2 linked regions of the Cricetulus griseus genome follow. The protein of the gene in region 2 interacts with the protein of the main gene of each other region in a pairwise test. Links are inferred from orthologs where the notes say so. Each region holds a gene or a part of one and is shown on either strand. Other genes may lie near its edges.

Region 1 (3,919 bases), on a different chromosome or scaffold from region 2:
AACACCCAGAAAGTCTTCAGTAAACATTTATGTAATTAATGAGTAGCTTTAACCATGTGGTGAATACATAAAATAAAGATACTCTCTTACTATAGTTATACATATGTGTATCCATGCAAGAAAGGGGGAAAGAAATGCTTGTGGTAAGATGATTTTCTTTAAAAAATCCCCTCATTTAAACATCCCACATACTCCTCCAATCTCTTTCAAATTCATGCCCTTTTCTTTCATTGTTATTGCCAACTTCTAAGATCCAGTTCTTAGGGAGAAATATATTCCTTTCAAAATAACTGCTACCCCAAGACAATACACCTCTTCACTCAACAGGCCAGACATATTATTAAACAACATTAAGCAATAATATAAATAGTATTTTAATGCCTGTTATTAGAGGATGAAACCAAGGCACAATTTTATTTTCAAGTCTTATTAAGAAATATATGTCTTGAGCCACAGCTAATATAGATACTGATTCCATTTATGGATTGCAAAAAAGTACATTGAAAATCTTCCTGTAAATTATCCATTGCTTTAGGTACCCTGAAGGACATTTATGATTATGGAAGAGCAAAAAAATCTCAACATAAATGGGCATTTTTAAAAAGTTGATTTCAAAATGACCAAAATCATACATGTACCCCAGCCTTCCATTGTGCTAGAACTACAAGGATATAAGATTTCTGCAATGCATTCACATCATAAGAGAATAAATTTCACTGTAAAATGTTGATTGCAACCATTAGGGGGGACTTAAGGGCTTTGATGGAAGAAACATTGATGGAAGAAACCATGCAGATGGTAGTGGAGGTAATAAGAGAACTAAAGTGAGAAAAGGAGCCTGAGATATAACTGAATTGTTACAGCCTCATGTGAAAGACAGATTTACTGAGATGATGGGAACATTCCTGAAGTGACAACAGAGAATTTGGAGAATGCCTGAACTTAGTTGATAAAGCAATGGTAGAACTGATTGACTACATTTTTAAAAGATGTTATATTATGGTTAAAATAATGTCCAACATTGGGGAATGCTACAGAGAAATGTTATGTAAAAGAAAGTAAAATGATACAACAGATGTTATTCCAGATGTGTTTTAAGAAATAATCACAGCCACTCAACTTTCAGCAATCATGTCTCTCAAGAAATGGGGGTATCTGATGGGGAATGTACTGTGTATATTTATCTGATTGATTGTTAAATAAAGTTCTGTTTGGCCAATGGCAGCAAGTTAGACAGGACTGGGAGTCAAAGAGGATTCTGGGACATGTAGTAGATAAGTGGTGATCCAGGCAGGAAGTGACATAGCAAGGAGACTCATATCTAAGTGAGGAAATAGGAAGTGAACCCTTTTTCCTCTTCCTCCTCCAGCAGTGCAATATGATCCACCGGCAAGGAGGGACTCCAATAAGGCATCTGATAAGATAAGTCTTATAAAGTAGATATGTATGATAATTAAGACTGAGCTAACAGATGAGAATCCTAGTCATTGGCCAAGCAGCATTGTACCTAATATGTCTCTGTATTATTTTGTTCCTTCCACACGGCAACAGAACTCAGGTGGCTGGCAGAGACCGCACACATGGCGGTAGGGCTCAGGCGGCTTTTGGCAGAAAGATTTATCTTAACAGGTATCCTTATGGAGATACCCGCCCCACACACACACACACTCCATGAAGGCTAAAATGGTCGCATGCACTTTTCATGGCTGCAGTATTTCCTAATTAAGATCTATGTATTGCTATTTTGTAAATAATGTTATTCTACATTAGATGGGCTGTAGTATCACATAAACACATTTTTATATGTTCCAGGAAAAAAAACAGTTCATGTGATCCATTTTATTACTTTGTTTACTTTATTGTGATAATCTGGAACAAATCTGCATTTCTAAGATGCACCTTGATGAAATCAGTGTTCAGTTCTGTGAAATTGCTAAAGAGGAAGAAGAATTTATATATACACACATTTAAAAATACTGTGAGGAGTCATGGTCTCAAGAGTGTATATTAACGTCAACACTTGCTTGAGAGGTCATGGTTTTTATTTTATTGGAAATGTTGGAGACCTGGATGAACAAAATTTCTCAGTACAAGACATTTTCACATTTTTTTTCTAAGCATTTATTCATGTTCAAGGCAGGCTGAATCACTCATAATATACTGCTTCCTGAAAAAAAAAAAAAAACTGAACACTTTGTAAACAAGAAGGGAAATCAAAGATGTCAAGAAATAACTACTGTCATGTCAGTATCAAACCACATGATTAAGAGGCTCTATAGGATATGCTTGAATGTGTGTGTGTGTGTGTGTGTGTGTGTGTGTGTGTGTGTGTGTGTGTGTGTGTGTGTATTTCTTTTTATTTAAAGAACCCTGATGAAACCAAATTGGGGGGGTCTTTTTTTTTAAGAGATTTTTGTTGTTGCTTTGCCTGGCCTTTTTTTTAAAATCACTTTTTTTTAAAACAATCTTTTCTCATTTTACATACCAATCCCAGTTTCCATCCCCCCTCCTCCTTATCCCCCCTCTTTTCCCCACCCCACCCCCTATCCACACCTCATAGTGAATGAGGCTTCCTATGGGGAGTCAAGGAACTCTAGCACCTTACTTTGAGGCAGGATCAAGGCCCTCCCCACTATACTAGGCTAAGCAATGTATCCCTCCATAGGGAATGGGCTCCAAAAAGCCAGTTCAAGCACTAGGGATAAATCATGGTTCCACTGCCAGTGGCCCTACACACTGCCCAAGCCACACTACTGTCACCCACATTCAGAGGGCTAGTTTGGTCATATGCAGGTTTCCCTGCTCTCAGTCCAGAGTCATCAGTTAAGAGGATGTACTACTCTTGCAGAGTATCCAGTGTGGTTCTGGTATCCACCTTAGGCAGTTCAAGTCTAACTCCATCTCTAGGAGACTTGATACCTTCTTCTGGTCTTCACAGGAACCTGCACTCACATGCACATTCCCTCACAAAAACACATACTATCACAGTATAACATAGCTAAATATATAGAGATAAATAGGTTGTATGATTTTAGGGTTTTCTGAATTTGCTTTGAGTTAAATTTAAAAATTACTTAAGAAAAATCAGCCACTTTGAAGAAAGGCTAAGTACTCTTATAAAAATTGGAAAACACTTTTAAATTGCCAAAGTTGGTGTAATTTTTCAGCTAAATTGTTCTGTAAAAATTCCTATTTTGAGTTTATAATATGCATCTATGTAGTAATTTGGGACCATTAAGCCAGTTTTATTCATTTGTTCTTAACTTTCATATAGCAACTGTTGTTTTACATGTGTGGATAATTCAATAGTCAACAGAGAGAGTTCCCAGATAGCCAGAGCTACACAGAGATACCCTGTCTTAAAAAATAAAAACAATCAATGGTTTTAAAATTTCTTGACTGTCCCTTAAAATATGTCACACGAATCAGTAGTTCATTGCTTCCAATATAGTTTTCAACATTTTTTTTTTTCTGACAGAGATGATAGGCTACACACGCACGCACGCACATCCTCCTTTTAATACTTTTAAAATAATGACTTGACTGAAACCCACAATTGTTTCATGTTTTGTTTTTAGCAGATTTTAGGCTTCTTTCTCTGTTAGCTAAAGTGATACTTTGCATTTAAGGACAGCTCAAGAACATAGAGAAGCACAAACATGTGGATGCTCATTTGCCATGGCACATGTTTGGTGGCTAGAGGGTTGATGGTCCTTGCCTTTCACATTTTTTAAGATAGGGTCATGGTGTTGCTGTGAAGACTGGGTACTTGACTTTCAAGAACCTTGGGATTCTCCTGTCTCTGCCCCTACGACATGACTCTCTGCTTCTATGGCCATAGGAGCATCTGGGTTCATACTGCCCACTGGCCAAGCTATACATGGGTATGGGGATCCAGGCTCTAGTTCTCATGCACAGC
Region 2 (3,919 bases):
AAAGAAGAAAGGGGATGCTGTCTCCCCAAGCCACTCATTCTTCACTAGAAAGCCTTGGGCCTCAGAGGAGCAGGGATCGAAGGCTGTGATATGATTAAGGGAGGAGACTTCTGCTGAGAGGCTCCTATCCCACTCCACCATGCTACCAGCATGGGAGTCCAGCTTTTCCATTTGCTAAGGACCAGCATGCTGCCAAAAGCTCCATCGTGGAAGGTGGGGGGTAGACAGAGAGAACGTCCATGAGAGGTCCCCCCACCTTCAATGTTGGACCCAGGGCCAAGGCTCATACCCACCTCCAATTCGGGCGTTGTAAGCTACACCTACACCACAGACACCATTGTTGGCTACTGCTGCCACCTCACCCGCACACCGAGTGCCGTGCCTGCCGAGATCAAGAATACGGCATTAGTGGGTGTGGACAGAGTACAGCAGGTAACCCTGAGTCACATCAGTCACTCTTCCCTGTGGGGCCACCATCCTCTTTGCGATGATCATAACCTCCCTTGGATCCTGGTGCAGTGGATCTCTGAGTTTGAGGCCAGCCTGGTCTACAGAGCAAGTTCCAGAACAGCCAGGGCTACATATGGAAACCATGTCCCCCAAAACAAAAACAAAACTCCCTTGGGGGACCAGGACTATAAACAGGGACTCAGTTGTGGGTTTTTCTTGGGGGGGGGTTGAGGGGGTTGGGGTTTTTTTTGTTTTTGTTTTTGTTTTTTCTTTTTTTAGAGACAGGGTTGCTCTGTGTAGCTCTGGCTGTCCCAGGACTCACTGTGAACTAGGCTGACCTGGAACTCACAGAGATCCTCCTGTCTCTGCCTCCCAAGTGCTGGGATTAAAGGCGTGCGCCACCAATGCCCATCTTGGTGTTTTTTTGAGATAGGGTCTCACTATGTAACTTAGCTGGCCTGGAACTCACTATGTAGAGCAAACTCACAGAGATCTGCCAACTTCTCCGTCCCCAGTGCCAGTTTGATTAAAGGAGCCGCCACCATGCCCAGAAAGACTTCAGTTTTTAGGTGGGACTTGTGACATCAGACTCACCCTTGTGTCCTTAACTGGTAAGAGGGAAGACGCTCAGAGGCGGGAGCGTGATATTTCTCACCTGTTGTCATTCATCTGTGTATACCGAGGCTGAGGGTCAGGGTCCTGGTCATTGACATCAAAACTGGCTCCAGGATCCTGTAAGGACAGGGCCATCATCAGAAGCTGCCTCACCACACTGCCCACCGAGGGATCACCACCATTCTCCTCCATTCCTCACATAATTGCCTGCCAAGTCGGGATGGTTCTTCTCAATGCCGTCGTCCAGGATGGAGACCACAATGCCGTGACCTGTGAAGCCCTGGGCCCAGGCTTCCTTCACATTCAGGTCTCGCTGAGTGACACCAGACTGCAGAGACAACCAGCCCATAACCAGAGATATTTGGTCGCTAACTCAGAGAACCCATTCCACCCAAACCCTCTATCACCACCCATTGCCACTCCTTGTTTCCACTGGAAATGCATAGCTTCTGGGAAGGCAGGATGGGCTAGAACAGTGGTTCTCAAGCTGTGGGTTGTGAACACCCTCCCCAGCCCCTCCACCCCGGCAACCCTCTTATCTCCAGAAATATTTACATTCATAACAATAGCGAAATTACAGTTATGAAATAGCAATGAAAATATTGTTATGGTTGGGGGTCAGCACAACACGAGGAACTGTATTAAATAAAGAGCTACAGCATTAGGAAGGTTGAGAACCAATGAGTTAGTAAGCCTCATCCACTCACAGCACCTCACAGTGGTGGGGAAGAAGACCAGAACCCAAGGAGGCAGCATACCAGGTACCACTGCTGGGGAAACTTGGGGTCTGTGGGCTCCTGATACACGTCCCGCTTGGTCCTCCGTTTTGCTACCTGCTGCTCCAGCCACTTTACCTAGGGATGATATAGATGATATAGGTGTGTGTGGGGGAGGGAGGGGGGCTCAGAACAGAAGCAGTGGCAGCTGGAAGGGCCAGGGCCACACTTACTTGAGGCTCCCTCTGTAGCCGGATGTGTCGCTGGCGGTGAGGTGACAAGGACCGCTTTGTCACTGCTCTATGCCTGAAGTGGTAATAGTCACCAAAGATCTGCAATAAAGCAATGAGACCGAGATGGGCCTTCCATCTGCCAGTCCCTGGGGGAGGCAGAGAAGGGGGTGGACAAGGCTGCTGGGGAGGCTCACAAAGACAAGTGGTGATGGGGCATCTGTTCCCTGCTTAAGACCCACGAGAACATGCAGGGGATGGAGGGGGACACCCTCATTGAGATGTGCTGGTTTTTCTAAGCAACTATGATAAAAGCCCACTAACAGGACAATGCCACAGACCCCATCCCAGCCACCCAGAATCTGCCTCTTGCCCAGATGCCCTGGAAGACACTCTACTTTATGGTGCAAAAGCTTATGCCCTCACCCTCTCCACCACGAGGCAATGTCCTGAAGTTACACCAACAGGCCAGGTGAGAAACCTACCTGGCCCAGGTTGTGGAACCCATGCTTCCGTGCCACGCTGTCAGCCACAGCTGGGCCTCCAGAGATGTGCACAGCCCAAGTGTTGGTGAAGATCTTTTGGCCACGAGCATCAGCTGCTAGCAGGACCAAGGCTCCTGCTGCTGCTACCACCCATAGCAACCAGGGCCTCAGCTCCATGGGGGGGCAGATGACTGGGACCCCGGAGCTCCTGTCTCCCTGGCCTGGTCACAGGGCCTTGGCTGCCACGTGCCTGCTCACTGCCAGGGCCCCGGAGCTGACTGGCGGGGGCATGGGGCCGAGATGGGCAGGGCTGGGGAGCAGGGTGAGGGCAGGCTCTGAGGGAGCAAGAGGAAGAAAGGAAGAAGAGTCAGTTGGTTCTCATCACATACTAATACTCTCCTTCCTGTCTTCAAGGCTTAATCAGGGGCTAAAAAGGAGTTTCGGGGAGGTGGATAAAACAAACAAATACATGCTGGGCGTTGGTGGCGCATGCCTTTAATCCCAGCACTCGGAAGGCAGAGGCAGGCGGATCTCTGTGAGTCTGAGGCCAGCCTGGTCTCCAGAGCGAGTGCCAGGATAGGCTCCAAAGCTACACAGAGAAACCCTGTCTCGAAAAACCAAACCAAACAAACAAACAAACAAACACCCGAGACTCTGGGAAGATGGCTCAGTAGGGACAATTACTGTTGCCCAAGCATGAAGACCTGAGCCTGGAGTCCCAGAACCACATAAAAAGGTAGGCTTGGCAGCCTGTGTCTGTAACTCCAGCACCAGGGGCAGGACAAAGACAAAAGAATTGCTGGGGCTTGCTGGCTACCCAACCTATCCAAATTCACAAGCTTCAGGTTTGGGAAGAGACCCTGTCTCAAAACAAAACAAAACCCCCCCCAAACAATTGTCAGGGTTGGAGAGACGCTCAGTGCTTCTTTAAGAGCACATGTATGTAGCCCCTGCTCCTGCGGAGGACTAGCATTCTAGTCCTAGCACCTGTATGGATGGTTCACAACTACTTATAACCCCAGTTCCAAGGGATCCAATTCCTGCCCCATCCCCCAAAGCCTCACCACATACACACACACATACACACAAGCTGTCTTTGGAAGAATCCAGCCCCTATCCCTAAAGGTCAGCCAAACAGGCACATGGACCCATCATCTCCCTTCACAAGCCTTTCTCCGTTAAGAATACAATCAGGGCTTGAGTCATTCAAAATAAAAAAAAACAAACAATAACCAAAGAAAGAAAGCTACATTATAAAATGGCATGTACACCGGATTCCATTTTGTTTTCTTAAAACTATACATGCATATTTATACATAACCAAAACAAAATCTGGAAGGACACACACTAAAATGTTAACAATGGCTCCTTGGAGAGATGGTGAGAATTATGAGTAGCAACTGTTAGGTTTTTTTCTTTGTGC

Evidence for each region.
Region 1: the proteins of Furin (region 2) and Marchf1 interact in a protein complementation assay, tested with the Homo sapiens proteins (2 studies listed by BioGRID). The link is inferred for Cricetulus griseus from reciprocal best matches to the Homo sapiens genes FURIN and MARCHF1.

Annotation. Positions count from the first base shown.
Region 1 is NW_023276806.1:242,872,251-242,876,169, forward strand, and holds the start of Marchf1 (E3 ubiquitin-protein ligase MARCHF1), read left to right. Parts: upstream 1-1,561; 5' UTR 1,562-3,919. UniProt on the Homo sapiens protein: E3 ubiquitin-protein ligase that mediates ubiquitination of TFRC, CD86, FAS and MHC class II proteins, such as HLA-DR alpha and beta, and promotes their subsequent endocytosis and sorting to lysosomes via multivesicular bodies.
Region 2 is NC_048596.1:117,205,565-117,209,483, reverse strand, and holds the start of Furin (furin precursor), read right to left. Parts: upstream 2,707-3,919; 5' UTR 2,674-2,706; coding exon 2,497-2,673; intron 2,114-2,496; coding exon 2,015-2,113; intron 1,920-2,014; coding exon 1,824-1,919; intron 1,394-1,823; coding exon 1,265-1,393; intron 1,183-1,264; coding exon 1,106-1,182; intron 383-1,105; coding exon 294-382; intron 1-293. UniProt on the Homo sapiens protein: Ubiquitous endoprotease within constitutive secretory pathways capable of cleavage at the RX(K/R)R consensus motif. Mediates processing of TGFB1, an essential step in TGF-beta-1 activation.